Arabidopsis thaliana: one gene and its partners. The protein of the gene in region 2 interacts with the protein of the main gene of each other region in a pairwise test. Each region holds a gene or a part of one and is shown on either strand. Other genes may lie near its edges.

The links.
Region 1: the proteins of NAC050 (region 2) and AGL58 interact in a two-hybrid assay, tested with the Arabidopsis thaliana proteins (one large-scale study listed by BioGRID).
Region 3: the proteins of NAC050 (region 2) and AT3G18210 interact in a two-hybrid assay, tested with the Arabidopsis thaliana proteins (one large-scale study listed by BioGRID).
Region 4: the proteins of NAC050 (region 2) and AT1G24210 interact in a two-hybrid assay, tested with the Arabidopsis thaliana proteins (one large-scale study listed by BioGRID).

Annotation. Positions count from the first base shown.
Region 1 is NC_003070.9:10,002,254-10,005,125, reverse strand, and holds AGL58 (AGAMOUS-like 58), read right to left. Parts: upstream 1,247-2,872; 5' UTR 1,161-1,246; coding exon 603-1,160; 3' UTR 545-602; downstream 1-544.
Region 2 is NC_003074.8:3,262,373-3,267,612, reverse strand, and holds NAC050 (NAC domain containing protein 50), read right to left. Parts: upstream 3,266-5,240; 5' UTR 3,204-3,265; coding exon 2,984-3,203; intron 2,794-2,983; coding exon 2,764-2,793; intron 2,683-2,763; coding exon 2,614-2,682; intron 2,510-2,613; coding exon 2,232-2,509; intron 2,141-2,231; coding exon 1,955-2,140; intron 1,812-1,954; coding exon 1,720-1,811; intron 1,609-1,719; coding exon 1,563-1,608; intron 1,492-1,562; coding exon 832-1,491; 3' UTR 523-831; downstream 1-522. UniProt on the Arabidopsis thaliana protein: Transcriptional repressor that binds to the motif 5'-(C/T)A(C/A)G-3' in the promoter of target genes. Also binds to the 5'-CTTGNNNNNCAAG-3' consensus sequence in chromatin.
Region 3 is NC_003074.8:6,237,397-6,242,517, forward strand, and holds AT3G18210 (2-oxoglutarate (2OG) and Fe(II)-dependent oxygenase superfamily protein), read right to left. Parts: upstream 3,210-5,121; 5' UTR 3,001-3,209; coding exon 2,668-3,000; intron 2,401-2,667; coding exon 2,353-2,400; intron 2,266-2,352; coding exon 2,089-2,265; intron 2,016-2,088; coding exon 1,865-2,015; intron 1,761-1,864; coding exon 1,674-1,760; intron 1,551-1,673; coding exon 1,426-1,550; intron 1,332-1,425; coding exon 1,213-1,331; intron 1,096-1,212; coding exon 984-1,095; intron 901-983; coding exon 868-900; 3' UTR 506-867; downstream 1-505. Other genes in the region: AT3G18215 (transmembrane protein, putative (Protein of unknown function, DUF599)), read left to right, coding at 3,572-3,736, 4,393-4,962. UniProt on the Arabidopsis thaliana protein: Participates in the epigenetic repression of flowering genes in association with ICU11. Functions in the repression of several members of the MADS-box transcription factors family, including SEP3, during vegetative development via histone modification.
Region 4 is NC_003070.9:8,573,026-8,577,158, forward strand, and holds AT1G24210 (Paired amphipathic helix (PAH2) superfamily protein), read right to left. Parts: upstream 2,160-4,133; 5' UTR 2,034-2,159; intron 1,517-2,033; 5' UTR 1,503-1,516; coding exon 1,363-1,502; intron 1,274-1,362; coding exon 1,150-1,273; intron 1,050-1,149; coding exon 948-1,049; intron 847-947; coding exon 745-846; 3' UTR 519-744; downstream 1-518.

The DNA of each region.
Region 1 (2,872 bases), on a different chromosome or scaffold from region 2:
CACATCGATATTCAGTAAAAACTATGGCAAAATTAAAGGAGACTATATATTTACACGTTTGTGTATGTAATTAATTGACAAAGAAGTTGTCCAATCTAAATTGGTAGTGAGTGTGCAAAATATGCATAAAGGTCATATGCTCAGTTCTTTCTAAATAAGATTTTATCCATAATTTTTGTTTTAGAATTTAAATGAAGTGGCATCTTAAATTGTAAACGCTGCATCCTAGTAAGCATATGTTAACGGAAATGTAACACTCTTTGCCAATTTAACAAAGTCTCCTTGTAGCAGCATTTTTCACAGTTTAATATGTTACAAAATCTTTCATGACTTCTCTTTGGTAAAATAAAATAAAAATTAAAGAGCATCATACTACTACACAATACTTTTTTTCTTTCTGTTTTAATAAGATTTTGTTAAACTCAAAGGTGATATCTATTAAAACAAAATATTTCAGTTTTTTTAACCCATTACTGGATGTTGTAGAAAACAATAACAATTCATAATGTATAAAAAAGACAAATAAAAAACATAATTCTTAACACTCATAATTAACTAGTGATGATCACAAGTGATCTACTAATTAAAATCTTGATTACAGATCATTTGTTATTATTCTCATCATGTCCTCTCTTGATCCTTAAAGCAACTTCCTCACGCAGTTTCTCTTTGAGCTCTTGATACTTCTCCATCATCTTCTTCGCCTTTTCGTGATCCTTCACGTCATTTGGATCTGCTTTCCACCACGCATCCTTATTCACGGCCCTCGTCTCCGCCAATGCAGCTGCCTTCTTGACTTTGACTTCGTCCACCTTTAACTCCTCCACCAATCTATTGTATCTTTTGCAAAGCTCTTGAATCTTCGCTTGCTTGTGAGCATTCTTGACCGATCGTTGCAACGATGATGAAGAAGACGACGAGGCCTCGCCGTTGAGAAACCGCTCCACCACGGCTTGGAAGGACGGACTGCCGAATGTGTATGGTTTTCCAGAGCAAGAATACCCGATAAACGCAACTTCAACACCACAGAGAATGGAAAGCTCAATGATCATAGTGTAGATAGCATTTAGACGCTTAGACAATGTGACCGATCTGTCTTCGTCTTTTTCAATTTTCTTGATGTTAATCTTTTGTTTTCCTTTGGTTTTCTTGGGATTCATTTTGGAGAAAAACAAAATTATGAGTTTATTGGTTATAAAAAAAAAAGAGAGAAATTTAAGCTAAGTATGTGATTGATGTATTTGGCTTTAGCCAAGGAATATTTTTTTTTTGGTTGGGTGCAAGATAGGGTTTATATAGATGGAAAAATGGTGGTAAATTAAATTGCATAAAAATTAGTCAATTCTTAGATTAATGTTTGGAAGGTTGTTAATATTTGTTATCCGCATAGTTATGGTCGATTAATAACAACTCTTAATTCCGGATGTAGAGACTTTGACTAGAAGAGATTTTATGGTAATAATGAATGTATGATATTCTGAACTTGTACCTTTTTTTTTTTGGTAGAAGGTTAACTTTATACCAATTTTCTGTTTTTTTTTACGAAAGCGAAACTTACTAGAAAAAAAAATTGCTAGAAAGAAAAACTAATACAACCAAAATAAGTAAGAAGAAGAGAAGGAGAGGTAGAAGAAGAGGGAGAGAAACCGATCCCTTAAAGAGCGGTCCAGGGAAGCTTGAGTAACAGATGTCGGTGAGGTTATGTTGTTGAAGATCCGGACATTACGCTCCCGCTAGATGAGATAGCAGGCCGCTTGCAAGATGAGCTTGGCAATAGTCATGATCTTGGGGTTAGAAGAAGTCCTTACCTGCAAAATCCAAGAAGAAATCGAGAGAAGACCAGATGGAGGAGAAGGCCAAATCCTTGAAGCAAACCCTTCCCAAAGAGTGGCAGAATAAGCACAGTCAAAGAATAAGTGAGCATGAGTCTCTAGGCCAGAAGAACATAGCACCCACTCAGCAGGGACAATAAATCCCTAGCTTCTTAACTTGTACCTTTTGTATAAGAAGCATCTTCAACTCCCACTTCTCAAAACATTTCTAAATTAGATCCTAGTACATATATACAAAAAAGATTCATTCTACTTTCTTAATTAGAGATGATACAAGGAACATATATGAAATAATTACACATCGATATTCAGTAAAAACTATGGCAAAATTAAAGGAGACTATATATTTACACGTTTGTGTATGTAATTAATTGACAAAGAAGTTGTCCAATCTAAATTGGTAGTGAGTGTGCAAAATATCCATAAAGGTCATATGCTCAGTTCTTTCTAAATAAGATTTTATCCATAATTTTTGTTTTAGAATTTAAATGAAGTGGCATCTTAAATTGTAAACGCTGCATCCTAGTAAGCATATGTTAACGGAAATGTAACACTCTTTGCCAATTTAATTGTTTTGTCATATTTGAATTGTTCGTGTATGAAATGTAATTTTTATTTAAGTTAGTGTACTTTTAAGCACACTTCATAGGAGAACTGGCTGTTTTCCCGTAGATATAATTAACAAGGATCCTATTATCAAAATTTACATAATAGAGTATATGTATTATGCTATTACTGTAACTCCTAGAAAAGTCAAAATGGTTTCACCAAAGTTATGCCCTAGCATGTTAAATTGCATATATATATTTATAGTTCTGATAGTTTTTCAATAACTAAATGGTAGTAGTCTAGTAGTTTTCACTTACATAGGAGTTGTTATGCAGGTTTAGGACAGAAATCAATTTTCTTCAAATGCAAAATGCACTAAATTACTCTATTCTAGTCAAAATGATGCCACATTTTAGGTTTATTAAATAATTTTGGCATTCTAATGTCATTTTTTTTTTTTTGGCTTTAGTCACGAAGGAATTAGTTTTATG
Region 2 (5,240 bases):
GACAGGTTCCGTATAATAGGACGATGTAGTTAAAAGTAAAATATAAACACCAAACTCTATAACACCTACGAAATTCCATTGCCTAGTAAGATATGAAACCATTTCGAAAATACGTCTGTGATCAAAACTTCTTCTTGAAAACTTAATGGGAGAGAGATGGAATCCAGGCTTGAATCGTACCAAGCGCTTTTCGCTTTTAGAGAAAAAACAAATAATTGCAAATTACGTGTAACAAAAGTCTTCTAACGTCGTTGACGGAACCACATTCCTAAATCGTAACGCTGAATTAGTCAATGACGATTATACCCTCAATCATTTCCACTAATCACGACTTTACCTAAGAAGCTCTCTTCCCTGTGGACTGTGGAGACAGTCACACAGAAACATCAAGCAACAGAGTGGTTCTTGTCCGGAAGACCAGAAGGTCATTTCAAATGACAATGACGATTATGCCCTCATATCTGACCACTAATGATTACCCCAAGGAAAAAGCTTTCTTTATGGAGACTGAACATTTCTTGAGAGGAAACCAAACAAAAGCGAGTTCTTGTCTGAAAAGACTAGATAGATAGATGATAATATACGACAATGGATCAGCCTGAAAATGTTCCCAAAAGATGCAGAAACATCCAAAGTAAAAAAGGATAAAATAAAAAGACCTAGTTGGTTGGCTCCGTTCCGTTTTATCCTAATTTTACAACAGAGATTCATAAGGTTTCTGATCCGTCTGAAGAAGCTACATCCATAGCTCATACTATTAAGAAGATTACAGCTAAGAGGCAAAGAAGAAGAAGAAGAAGAAGAAGACACCTGGAGAGATGTTGCGGTGGTTTAACTAGCTTGTCCACTGGCGTTCTTCTTCTTAAGTTCCTCGTTCTCCTGACGCAGCGCATCGATTCTTGACTGGAGAATGCTGATCATAGCCTCTGCACTCATCATCTCAAGCTTGAAAGTTTCTCTTTCAACAGACATCTGGTGAACCTCCTTCTGGAGATCATTAACCTTCTCTTCAGGAGATGCAATTGGACTAGGAGGAGAAGTTTCCTCTTTCTGCTGGTTTTCTTTCTTGTCGGAGATACCCATAAGTGAGAACTCAAGCAATGCAGAGATGGCAGTGTTGGTAGCAGCAGCAGCAGATGATGAGATTAAGGTGGTTGTATTGTCGACGGTTGTTATTGTGGACGAACAATGGTCCTGTGTGTTCCTGCTTGAGTTGTTGTTGGACTCGTTTTGGCGTCTACGTTTGTATTGCAGGAGAGGTAGTGGAGCTTCTTTGTTGAGAATGCATAGAGAAGGAGGACGCTCATCTTCTTCTGCGTGCTCGCGTTTGAGTGTGTCCTCATCTTCTTCATAACCACTATGGTTGTTACTCTCCTGTGGCTTGAAGGCACTCTCATGATGATTCTGTTGGTTAGGTTCGATGTCCATTGGAGTAGCATCTCTCGGTAGCTCGTTGATGTTAATGAGATCCTTGCTTGCTGAATGCATTTCCTACAACAAATTACAAGTTATGTGAACCCCAACAGACATAAAATATCTCAAACCAAAACGCGTTGATCGACTTTGCAGATTAACCAAAACACAATAAATATTTCTCTTGTTGAGCACCTTTAATGCCAAACGAAGATTGTAAGTCTGAAATATCATGTAATCAAAGGATAAATCTCAAAGAAAAAGGACCATAAAGAAAAATTAGATATCTTGTGAATCAAGAGAGACCTTTCATTAGATAAAGCTGTAAGGTTGAGCTGAGTTCTACAAAAGGTGATAGCAAACTTAATGGAATTGTGCAGTTTAAGTAAATCAGCCCACTGAAACAGCACTTAGAGAAGCAAAGAGCTTTTGCAATAAGAAATATAATATCTTGTGAATCAAGAGAGATGATTCACATTAGAGGGATGTATCACAGAGGTTATGCATATAAGAAACATTTGAGTATAAAGAAAGTACAAACCTGGTCCATCTGGTTGTTTCCATTGGCTTGTGGTAGAGCCTCTACCCTGACCCTAACGTCTATTCCTGGAATCAGAGCTCCTCCACCATCAGCCCATTCTTCTTCCATGAATGGCGCATATCTGTTCCCACTTGGTGGCCCAATGTTATTCTTGTGAAACACTCTGCACAACACATATGCATCCTGCTGCACCCAGACAAAGAAGTAAGATAAGATAGGATTCTTACAAAATGAGATAACCCCAATTCAAAAGTAACTCTTTTGGACAACATAATACCAGCAGGCTTCCGTTAGTTTCAGTTTCATATTCCACAAGGCGATACTCGTGCATGACCCAATTAGTCCGAAGGCCGTCTGGAGCACGCCCGCTGTGGAAAACAAGCGTCTTTTTCATACCGAGCAACTGAATATCCCGGCGGATTTCTCTGTCTTTTCCAGTTGCTTTCCAGTACCCTTTGTTAGTTGCTCGATTCATCCTAGCACCATTACCGTACTTCTTATCTAACGCACTGAAGAAGTACCATTCTTGGTCCCGAGTTTTCAACTTCGAAAACACTGAAACACACAACACATCACAAGGTTTTTTTTCTTTCAGATCATACTTGAGAACACTTCAGATAGCCAAACACACAAGCAACAAACTTCATTTCCTGATCCACAAGCAAACATAACTGTAGCACAAGCAAACATAACTGTAGCACAAGCAAACACGAAATTCTTAAAGCAATCTGAAGAAAATTCGACTTTCTTCAGTTAAGAAGTCAATTGGATGGAATGTCTTCACAGTGTTAAAGCCTAATTGCCTAAACTTAGCGCCAGGTACGAACAGAGAATCTTCTCTGCAACAAAAAATTTCCCAGAAAACGAATCGGAGCACGTAAAAGCTAAACTCATTTCCCAGAATTGAGCCAGAAGACGGAACAACCAATAAGCCCAGGCGACAAAAATCCCAAATCAGAAGCATCAAATTCACAGAAACCCCCAAATCATAGAGATAAGCAGAAATGAAGAAGAAGAAACCTAACGAACCTGCTAAATCCCAGGGCTCATGCTTGTAGATATCTACCTCTCCAATCGCATCGAAGCGTACAGGTTTACCCAGAACCTTCCTCTTCAAGTAATAGCTCACGAGTTCCTCATCAGTCGGATGAAATCGAAAGCCAGGAGCAAGCGAGGTAGCCGACACAGCAGTACTGGGCGCAGTCGCCGATGGCGGCGAGGACACAACAGCCAGAGATTCGCGACCCATAAAAAGAAAAAAAAAAGACCGTATTTGTTTCTAGGTTTTCTTCTCAATTTTTTCAGACAAACCAGAAATATAGTTGTCAAAATGTTTTTTTTAATATGAAACCAGACAAACCAGAAAAAGAGAAGCAGGTACCTTCAATTGCAAGAAATTTGCTTTCTTTTCGAGTTCCTAGAAGGCTAGAAAAAAAGTAATTTCGGATTGCGATTACTATTTTTCATTTTCAATTTTAATAATAATTTCTCATTTTTGAGTGTTGCAGTAATAAAACCCTAAAAAATGTTACTGCTTAGCTTTTTGTTGTCGTTCTATGCAGTAAAATAAAGGAACCACTAGTCCTAGTGTGTGGTCTGAAAAGTAAGTATCCAACGATAAATATTTTTTAAAAAGTAATATGTTAGACAGATGATGAAAAAAATAATGAAAAATTAAATATTGCTTATGTGATTAATAACTCTTTTTAAAAGGTAAAGTATTTTTTTAAAAGATTAGAGTTTATTTGTTTCCTTTAATGTTAAATGCATTGTATACATCTTTAGTATAAAAATCTTATATTGTATTTGATAAATTATTGTAGTTCAAAGATTTACAAACGCTAGGATAAATAGAAAATAATCTGGTTGGAAAATATGTAATGGTTTTGTGCTTATCAAAAGTTAAATGCTGACATGTACAGTAAAACCTCTATAAATTAATAACTTCTACAAATTAATAAATTATTAAGATTCCAAAAACTAGTATAAAAAGTGATATATATCGATAGATTAATAAGATAATAATTATTTTGAATGTTCTATGTAAATATATGGTCTCATTAATATCATAAATTAATAATTATATAAAAGTATCAACTATGTATATTTATTATATGTAAAAATATTCTTTAAAATTTATTTTTAATATTTTTTTGCTTAAATTTGTATTATTTTTGTTTGAAATTCAGTTCTAATAGTTTTACTATATCAAAAAATTTTGGTATTATTTTCTATACATGAAGTTGACCAAAAAAGAAGAATTAATGAGAATAAGATAGAAGGTGAAAGAAAATAAAAAAGGAGTGACAGATACGTTTGCTTGCAGGAGGATACTTTACCAATAAGGCAAGCTAAAGGGGAGGAGAGACTTGGTCCACACGAATCATCATCTTTCCCATTTTCTGTTACTATTTATTATTCTTCTTTTCTCTATTTATTTTCTAGTACAAGTCCTCTTCAAATTTGTAATTCGTAGTTTGGTTTTCGTTTAAACCATTTGCAATTCTCAAATATAAACATTAACTACGATTTGAACTTGAATAATTTACTTGTGGGGTTTGTATTACTGTTTAAGTCAAGGTGACAAAGACAAAAGGTTACTTTCTTCTCTCTTTTTTTCATCTTCTAGTAAAATGGAATATTTAAAACAATATTATTCGACATGTTGAATTTTGTTGCTGTCGACATTTCGATATTGAAATTCTATATAATTATGGTGTACGGGGGTGGAATTGATGAGGCGTACCAGAAAACTATATGATATTTTTGCACTATTTTCTTCTTTTTTGGTACGCTATGTCTCTTGTCTCTTATGCTTTGTATGCGTAACTAATTCGAAGGCAGAAATTAAAACGAAAAATATCCAACTCTTACTTTTACACATATTATTATGAAACTAATAAAGAAAGTAAGAGTAAAAGAAAACTCTATTTTATTTATTTATTTATATAGGTTGTCAGCTATCTGACACCACTGTCTCCAAAAAGGACAAAATGCTAAAATATCAAGACTTTTTTTTTTGGCTCAAAAAAAATATATGGTTTGTGCCTCGTGTTTAAGCAATGGGCCAAATTTCTTCTAAGTTAGAATATTAAAAGCCCATGATTTATTTGTAGCCCATTTCGGTGACGGACGGGTGTAAATCAAGCCCATGCTAATTTATTCTTCTTTTTCTTATTTTCATAAACGCAGTTTCTCGTATCGAGACTAGAACAACATGCATTCGTCTTCACGAATGAAACACTGAATCTTGAAGAGCTGAGAATAGTGTGTTATGAAATTTCAA
Region 3 (5,121 bases), 3.0 Mb from region 2:
TTTAAAACAGACCCAAATGATCCTTATTGATCTTATACTACTGTATCATGAAGATGAAGGATTGTGTTTTCATCTACATTGCTAATTAGTGTGATCATATATATAAACATCGTATCAACATAGATTGTCAAAAAGATACCAAGAAACCCCAAAAATAAAATGAATTTGGTGAGAAGAATGAATGGAAGAGTATATAAAAGAGACATAAATAACAGATCCATAAAAGGATTCAATGATAAGCCTTAAAGTCAACTAATTGGGTTGGTAGTACCGTTTCACACCCAATTTCGATTTGTCTTGCCATGAAATAACAAGACAGCAACAAAACACCATCTACACTTTCTTCTCTCTTCCATTATTTAGAATAACGTGCACAATGGCCCTAATGCTCATTTATATTCAAAAGAGCCTACCGAAGCAATCGATTTGGGTTTCTATAAGAGCAAAATCCATTATTTGTGGCTCTAGCCATTGGTGAAGAGCACAAGTGCACAACTCAGTAGAGCAACGATTTGAGGCGAATATGGAGATTTAAGAGAGCAGCATCACCAAATCCAATTAGATAACACCAATTCTTCCTTGTACTCATATGAAAGAACAAAAAAAATCGGACAACAATATGACTCCTTGTAGTACACAAGTGAAGTTGAGACTAGATTCTTTCATGTACATATTTTATCAAAGAGTCTGAGAAACGATAAACAGAGACCCATATAACTCAAATGATTTCTACATAGGCTCAGTTTTAAGTCAGCTTAAAACAGGAGCAATTCTTCAGGGCTTGATCTCAAGTTTTAATGTCATCCAATATATGTTATTGCTTATCTTACTAATGTTTCATCAATTGCTCATCTTGCTAGTGTTCCATCAAGCTTGGGTTTGACGTGGTTTAAACAATTTCTGCAATAGCAATAAAGAGCATAGAATCATCGACCATTCTAGTAAACAGAGAACTATATAAGCTTGATCAATCACAGGCTTACCTTTCTTAGAGCATCAATCGACCGCACTTTCTCATCTCTCTTTTCACAAAAGCACTCTCCACACCAGCTGGAGAAATCCTTGTGATGAGTTTTGAGCTCTCTAAATACAGAACTGCAAGGAACAACACGAAAGACAAGCTTAATAAGAAACCAAATAAAAATGGAAAGTCAATTGCAATGTAAAAAAAGATGCATGGCAGTCTAGAGGCAAGTTTTAGATGCTATTTACCTTCTGCACCATAGAAGCATATTGACCCGATGCCCGCATGTTGTGGCTCTGGCACCATGGCGGTGGCGGCCACGGTGAAGCACAGCTTGTCCAGGTATATGACAATAATCATATGTTTCCTGCTTTCGCAGAAAAAAAAGAGTTGTTTATATTAGCTATCAGCCATATACAGAATGTTAGAAGACAAGAAAGCAACAGAAAAGAGTGGCATACATCTGCCTTTGTTGCTGTGTTCACATGTTTTTCACACCGTGTGCCTCTGAAAAATAGCTCCCCTCCCACAAATTGATTACCCAAACAAACATTCAGCGTTACTTCTGAATCATCCACATGAAAGCCTGAAAATTTATATAACATCTGATAATTTTCAGCCAGAATAACGTGAGTATTGGAATATATCTGCATTTAGGACAACTAGTCAGGTCATGGGAAATTATACAGGATATGTCAAAGGGTCTCACCTAAATCAACATCCCTATCTTTCCCATATTCAACAACAAAACCATGGTGAGAGTCCAGAGTTGCTCCACCCACATCACTGAAGAATACTGCAAAACAAAAGATTCGAAGTAGCTTTTTAGTTTTAACACTGTGAACATATTAAACAGACTTTCCAATAATAGACTATGTAATGGATTTAAAAATATATTGCCTTTAGAGATGGGACGTATAAACCCCTCCATGAGTTTGTCAAGCATGGTGTCTAGACCAAAGTCGTCAAGCACAGCACCGTATTTATTCATGGTGTTTGGTCTCATTATCCGGAATTTGGTCTCACCCACCCACCTTTCAAAATTGTCTATCTGCATGGTCAAACAAGAGCAAATGAACAAAATACGAAGGATAAGAGAAAAACAAAAAATGGATGCACATTACCTCGGCTAGCATCATCTCACAAAAGCTAGGCTGGAGCATGTCAAAGACGAAAACACCAGGAGACGGTTCAGATATTATATTTCTGAAGCTTTCCTCTGTGTTTTCATTTATCGCCTTAAGGAAAGCAGGAACGAAACATACTGTGGGAACTAGAGTATACAACTCCTTGTGAAGTGGCTGCAGTAGAAAAACACTTCAAACTACTAACAAATGACTGGAGCAGAGCAATACAGAACACAAGAAAGCTCAAGAAAGGATTCACACCTGATAATTTGTTGTAATCTTCAGCCTATAGTCACTGTGCCTTTGAGCCTGTAGCATCAGCCAAACAAAACTACTTAATAAAACTCTTGAGCTCATATTGACATTTTCAAACCATTCATGCAATATCTTCTACCAACCATCATCTAACCAGATTGAAATTTCCATAACCACTTAACTAAAAGTGAAACCAGTTCATAGTAGCAATTAGCAAAAGCTCAAATTTTCATAATGAAGTGTAGCTTCTAAAGCAATTCACAGTCATCAATACAAGTAAAAACAAAATTCAAGAGAGAAAGGTCCAAATCTAGTACTTACTCTGGAACGCTCTCCATGAGGAAGATGCCTAAGCATAATATCAGTCATGAATTTGATTTTCTCATCACGATTCGAGACGAGCATATTCGGAGGCAAGTACTTCTCCAGACTAGAATATACCGAGTTTGGGAAATCAAGCTGCAGATCTTCATAACTATCGGGTCTATGCTCGTTGTTAGGGTTTAGCCTTAGTCTCTGGCAAGAAACCATCGTAGAGGTAGCTCTCAATGTCGTGGGAGCCGCCGAATGAGAATTCTGACCTGCAATTGTTCCGTTACCTTCCACCGTCGTCGTCGTCGTCTCTTGCGAACCTTCTCGCTGCTCACTTGACATTACTAAAGAAGGCAGAGAATTCAAGTGAGAAAAAACTAGGGTTTCTTCTTCACACTACATTCCAAAAGCAAAAAATCTTAAAGGGGAATTGAAATCGACTTTTTAAGCTCTCGATCTGGAGATTCTGATTTTTGAGTTCCCGTTGAAGTTAGGGTTTCTGAATGTTCCCTCGAAGATTTTTTTATCTTTTATTTATTTGTTAATATTACGCACGAAACCACCAGTCATACGCCTTATAAGAAGAGTTAAATGATTTTCTAGCCCATCTATTAGGCGGCCCATTAAATAATTCGAACCGGTTATTTGGTTTAAACTGAAATTACCGGTATAATCGTGGAATTGAAATCATTCGACTTTGAGTTGTCTGTTAGTGCGTTATTGGTTAACACGTGAGAGATATCGATAGTCTCCTCTGGAGTTTGTTAAGTTCACACGTGTGAATGAAAGCTTTCGCTCTCAAAGCTTGGTGCTTTTTCGTCTCTTGCCTCTGCCAAAATCTTTTGGCCGCCATCGATCTTTCCGATCACGGAACAACCGTACGAATTGAAAGTATCTCTGCGGCGAAGTAGAAATGTGGACGGAGGAATCTTTGGATTTAGTGCTTGTGCCGACGGGTCTGGTCGTGATGGTTGCTTACCATGTCTGGCTCGTCTACGCTATTCTTCACCGCCCCAAGCTCACTGTTATCGCTCTCAACGCTGAGTCTCGACGACAATGGGTCTTCTCTATGATGACTGTATGTTTTTTTCTCTTCTCATTTCTATTGTTCCTCTTTTGGTGACATTCTGGGATTTTCTTGGTATTTCTGATTCTGGAGATTTTGGGGTCTAGATTAGGGTTTATGGCAATAGAGCTGCTTTGTTCGTGATTTTAGGAATTGGGTATTGAGAGTCTTACGGCTCTCCTATCCTCAATTTTCATGATTCTGAAGTTTTCGAAGTCAACTAAAAACTAGTAAACCATAAATATTTGGATCTTCAAACATCAGGTAGCAAAATTGAGCAGGGTTTATGATGAGTAAAGATGATGAGATTAGGAGAAGCAAAGTCTTGGAGCTGTCAAGTGATGTTAGATGTGAATCTTCATTAGTAGAATCAATGTTATAATAGACGGTTGGCTATCTTCCTTGGAAGCTTGACATTTTTCAAGAACTCTTCTTGTTCATGGAGGATATGCATCACAGATCCCTATAGTTCACAACTCTACGCATATTTCAGCTAGAATCTTGGAGCTAGTTAATGAGGTTCATTGGATAGGAACAGAGTCATAGACATGAGAAACAAGAACACAGTCGTGTGTCTGTCCGTTAAGATCCGAATTATCGGTGGTCTTGGCTCTCAGTATTGGTTCTTTTGCAGTAGATGATATAAGTTTATCTATTGTTATTTCCAGGAACCACTGAAAAATGGTACCTTGGCTGTTCAGACAATCCGGAACAACATAATGGCATCAACCCTTTTAGCCACAACAGCAATCACTTTATGTTCCATCATCGGCGTCTTTGTAAGCAACTCGTCATCTTCAAAATCCACGGCAACAAATCTCATATACGGGAGCAAAAGCCCTCGCTTAGCGTCATTCAAGAACTTTGCAATCCTGATCTGTTTCCTCATGGCCTTTCTCTGCAACATCCAGTCAATCAGGTATTACGCTCACGTAAGTTTCCTAGTCACAGTGCCTGTCTCAAGAGGGAAAAGAGAGCACTGCGAGTACGTGTCTAGAAACCTGAACCGAGCTAGCTACTTCTGGTCTCTCGGATTACGGGCTTTCTACTTCTCCTTCCCTCTCTTCTTATGGACCTTCGGGCCAATCCCGATGTTTGTGTGCTGTTGTATGATGTCCTCGATTCTATATTTCTTGGACACGACCACTAGTTTTACCAGGCATCTTCATAGCCAATCGTTCAGAGAAACGGCTGATTCAATGGACGGCGAAATCGAATCAGCTGTTCATACTCTGTAGATTCTTCTCTGACTTTTGTTGTGTATTAAGAGTTATATGTTAACGGTGTCTTTTGTAATGTGATGGAACAACTTTGTCTGCAATTATGTATGCGTTTGTGTTTTCATGTTACAATGATTAGAAAACATTACAAGATGAAAACGCAAACGCCTACCTAAA
Region 4 (4,133 bases), on a different chromosome or scaffold from region 2:
CGGTAGGGTTTTGTTTATGTATTATGATTCCAAGGTTATGTAAGATTTTCTATTTATTTTAATGATTTTTTTTTATTATTTGGTGTATTTTAATTAATTATGTACTTTTTTTAAAAGGGTTAAATCATCCATTTTTGTAACTTTACCCTCCACCTCCAATATATGCAGATTAATCTTATAAAGTTTAAAATAATACGCAATATGACATTTATACGTATATTGTAAACGTTTTTACGATGATATACATTAGAATTTTAAAATTTTGAAGGCAGAGTTGAACTCTTCATCGTGAGGGTTTAGATTTAATATATTACATGTCAATATTTTACAAAATTAATAGTAAAGAAAAAAACAAAGAAGGGTTACAATGCGTATTATTTTAGACTTCATAGGATTAATCTCAATATGTTGGAGGTGAAGGATAAAATTGTAAAAATGGATGAGTTCGAAGTGTTTTTTTACACAAAACCCTTTTTTTAACAACCATTAATTAAGTACATAACAAAACTAAGAAATGAGTTTTAAAAAAATGTTTGATCTTTCATAGGTTTTTCATCAGTAAAATTCAACATAAACAAAATAAGGTTATGAGAAGTATTTTTGAGTTTTGTGACACTTTGAGTTTCAATCATCTGAGTATATCAAATTCAAATCTCATCCTCTTCATGGTGAAAAGCAAAGATTTAAAACCTCTACAAAAGAAACTATACACTCCATTCTCATTCATAAAAAATACATCACTCGTTATAATTGTAGTAGTAGTGATGCTGTTGATACAGGGTTCTTTGTGAAAAATCTGAGAAAGTCTTCAATCAAATCTTCATGATAGAAGAGAACATCAATGACCTGCAAGATAATATTATTTCTAACCAAATCAAACAAAGAGAACCAAAAAAAAAAAAAAAAAACACAAGTACACAAAATAGCCCACCAAGAACAAACATTACCTCCTCTTGCACCTCCTTTACCGACATCTTTCCCTCTTTAAACATCTTCATTAACCCGCGAATTGCCCCCACTACATGAGTATCAAGGCTCTGAAACCGTGTCTGCAGATGGACAAATTTGCTCTAGTTAGTAAAAGAGGAATCAAAAAAGGATTTTGGTGTTTCTCTCCAAGGATTATTTGTCATTTTAGCATGTGTTTACCTTGAGCTTGTTTATAAAATCCTCTACAGAAACAGGTGGAAGGAAGACACTGAAACCAAGAAGAAGATCCTGATGATCTTTCATCAGTTCCTCCACCCTTGCAATGACACTATATTTATCGACTCTGCAAAAAGAGACTAGTAACATCAGAATCAATTCACAGTTGAAAGTAAAGACCAAACCAAATATAACAGGGAAGAAAAGAATACATACCTATGATCACAAACACCATTCAAGAGCTTGATAAACTCTTGATATTTCGTAGGTTCATCATGAAATGTTTCCTTCACAGCAATGATGTATGAATGCGCATCATCCTTAGTTAGAGCAGGTGATACTCGTCTTCCAACCATGGTTTGAATCTAGCCTTTTGTTATCAAAAGAAAGAGAAGATTTTTGTTCAGTAAAACAGATCACATCATTGAATTTAACCTAGAAGCTATTATTACCACTTGAAGAAACAGAACCTAGAGTGCAGAAATCTTAATAACATTACTTAAATCTATGATTTGCCTCAACACTGAAATTGAACAAGACATAAAGCTGCAATAAGCTAAATTTCTCAAAATCCAAATAATTGTCAAAACCAAAATCAACAACAACTAATTCATTCCCATCAGAACCAACGTGAGAACTTGTGTAAAGTGGCCAATATCAACACAGAGCAAACCAACCAAACACTTAGAAGTCTTAAAATCTCAGTCTTAACAAAAACAATAAGAAGTTAATTCGCTAATTTGAGGGTTTAAATCGGATTTGATGAAATTCAGGTAAAATTGATCACACAGGTACGAAATTAAATTCGAAGAACCCAATTCGAAATCATCCCAGAAACTACAAAATCATTCAATGACAATAAGAGAAGAAGATCATCGTATAGTTACCGAAATTCGAAGACAAAAAGGGCTTCCCTAGCTTACGAGTTACGACACACGATCTCGAAGAAGCAGGAGACTAGAACTAGAAGAAGAGATTTCTCTAGGGTTTAGTTTCCGACACTTAACGTTGGATTATATAATTAAGGATTACATCAAAAGTACGGTTTAAAAAAGGAAAAAGGCAAATCTTCTTCTTTTTTTTAATTAATTAATTAAAACTTTTTAATTGAGAAAAGTAAAAAAAGTAAAAAATGTGAAATGCTAATTTTAGTATAGGGATGATCTAATCGAAAATAGAGATTAATGTTTAGACTAAAGAGATAATTTCCCCAAAACATATATTTCTTAGTTTGACTTTGACATAACATTACATACATATATGTGTTAAATTAATTTGATATGGTTAATGTTTAGGAACTACAGTATTTTCTAATACAACATCACATTCAACAACTCTAATTAATAGTCAATAGCAACACCTAGTATACATTCCTAGTATAAATTTGATAACAACACCTAGTATACTTTGCTTTTTATACTATGTGTTAATGTGAAGTTCTAGCGTTTTAAGATATTTTGAATAATAAGAGTAACGAGTTGAAAAAAGATTAATATTATGAAGTTAATTGAAAGCAACAAAGATCATACAGCCTTATTTATAAAACACAATGGCTAAATTCATAACATAATTCCTAAATAAATAAATAAAAGAACGAATCACAAATAAATTATTCAATTTAATACAAATCTAAACCGAACTTGGTTTAGACGAACGAAGAAATCCCACAACATCACCTACCCATCTCATGCCCCAATCTAATAATTAGATCTCCAACCAATCTGGTAAAAATACATTGAAACCAGAAACCAAGTCTTGGTCTCCGTTAAGCAGTTCCTTCACCGCTGTTATGCAATCAGCCCTACTAATTCTGCAATGAAGTTATAAAATCAAAATTAATTACTTCTTCAACACGAAAAAATTGAACCGAACATTTTTAGTCATATTTTCCAAAAACTATGTATATCACATACTTGCGAACTTTAAAATCTTTCATAATCGCAAGAAAGTCTTCATATTTTTTTCTATCATTATGAAAATGATCCTTCACAGCCTTAATATATGCCTTTGCATCAATTTTGGTTGGCTTCGGCTTGTCTCCTTTATACACAAATATACTGTCTCCTTCCGACATGGTTTTCAATTGATCGAGCTGTATTTTCCAAACAAAGAGAATGATTTTTTATTATTATTTGTTTTCACTGAAGAAATTAATTATTTAATTTTGATTTCTATCTTCTCAAACACATTACCTCTTTTCTTTAAAAGTAACTTAAAATCGTTGGAAAAAAGAACAGGAATTTGCATCAGAGATCTTAATTAACAATTACTCGGATTTTTTAACAGTACATGCAATAAACATGACAATAACCAACTTTAGATCGGTAAAGTCAAAGAAGAATTGTAAAAATACTTCAGAGTAACAAACCATAAAAGTAAAAAAGTTCAAGGAAAAGCAAACCAGAAATTTACTACGGGTAGAAGCTTCACCACTAGGACATGAATCGTTTTGAGTTGTATGGGGTGTCTTTATATATCAAAAACCTTGCAGAAATCAGTCCATTTGCTATTAATATCTTTGTAGCAATGAGATATAATTGTATTGTAATATTAAATGAAATAAACACATGTCAGTTTGTAAATAAAATTTGACATTTATTAAAATTTACAGATTTTTAATGTAAATTTAGTAAATAACAAATTAAATTGTAAATTTTTATAAGCATATCTGTCAAAGCTTTATTTTATTACTTCAACTTTTTCGAGATTTTAAAATCACTTTTGTTACAATGTAGGATTTACTATTACAATTTTTTATATATATTATAATATTACAATGTAGCATTTAGTATTAAAATTATATATTTAGTTGATATTAAAAAATAGACTACATGTCAAAACTCAAAAGAATTGATGCCATAGATCTGAAAATAACTTAGTAAATTTACTTTCGTAGTTTTTCAAATCAAAGCCGACTAGCTGTAACTTAGTTTCTGTATGATTCGTGACGTGATTCAAGAACAGAACAAATTAAAGAACGATTTATC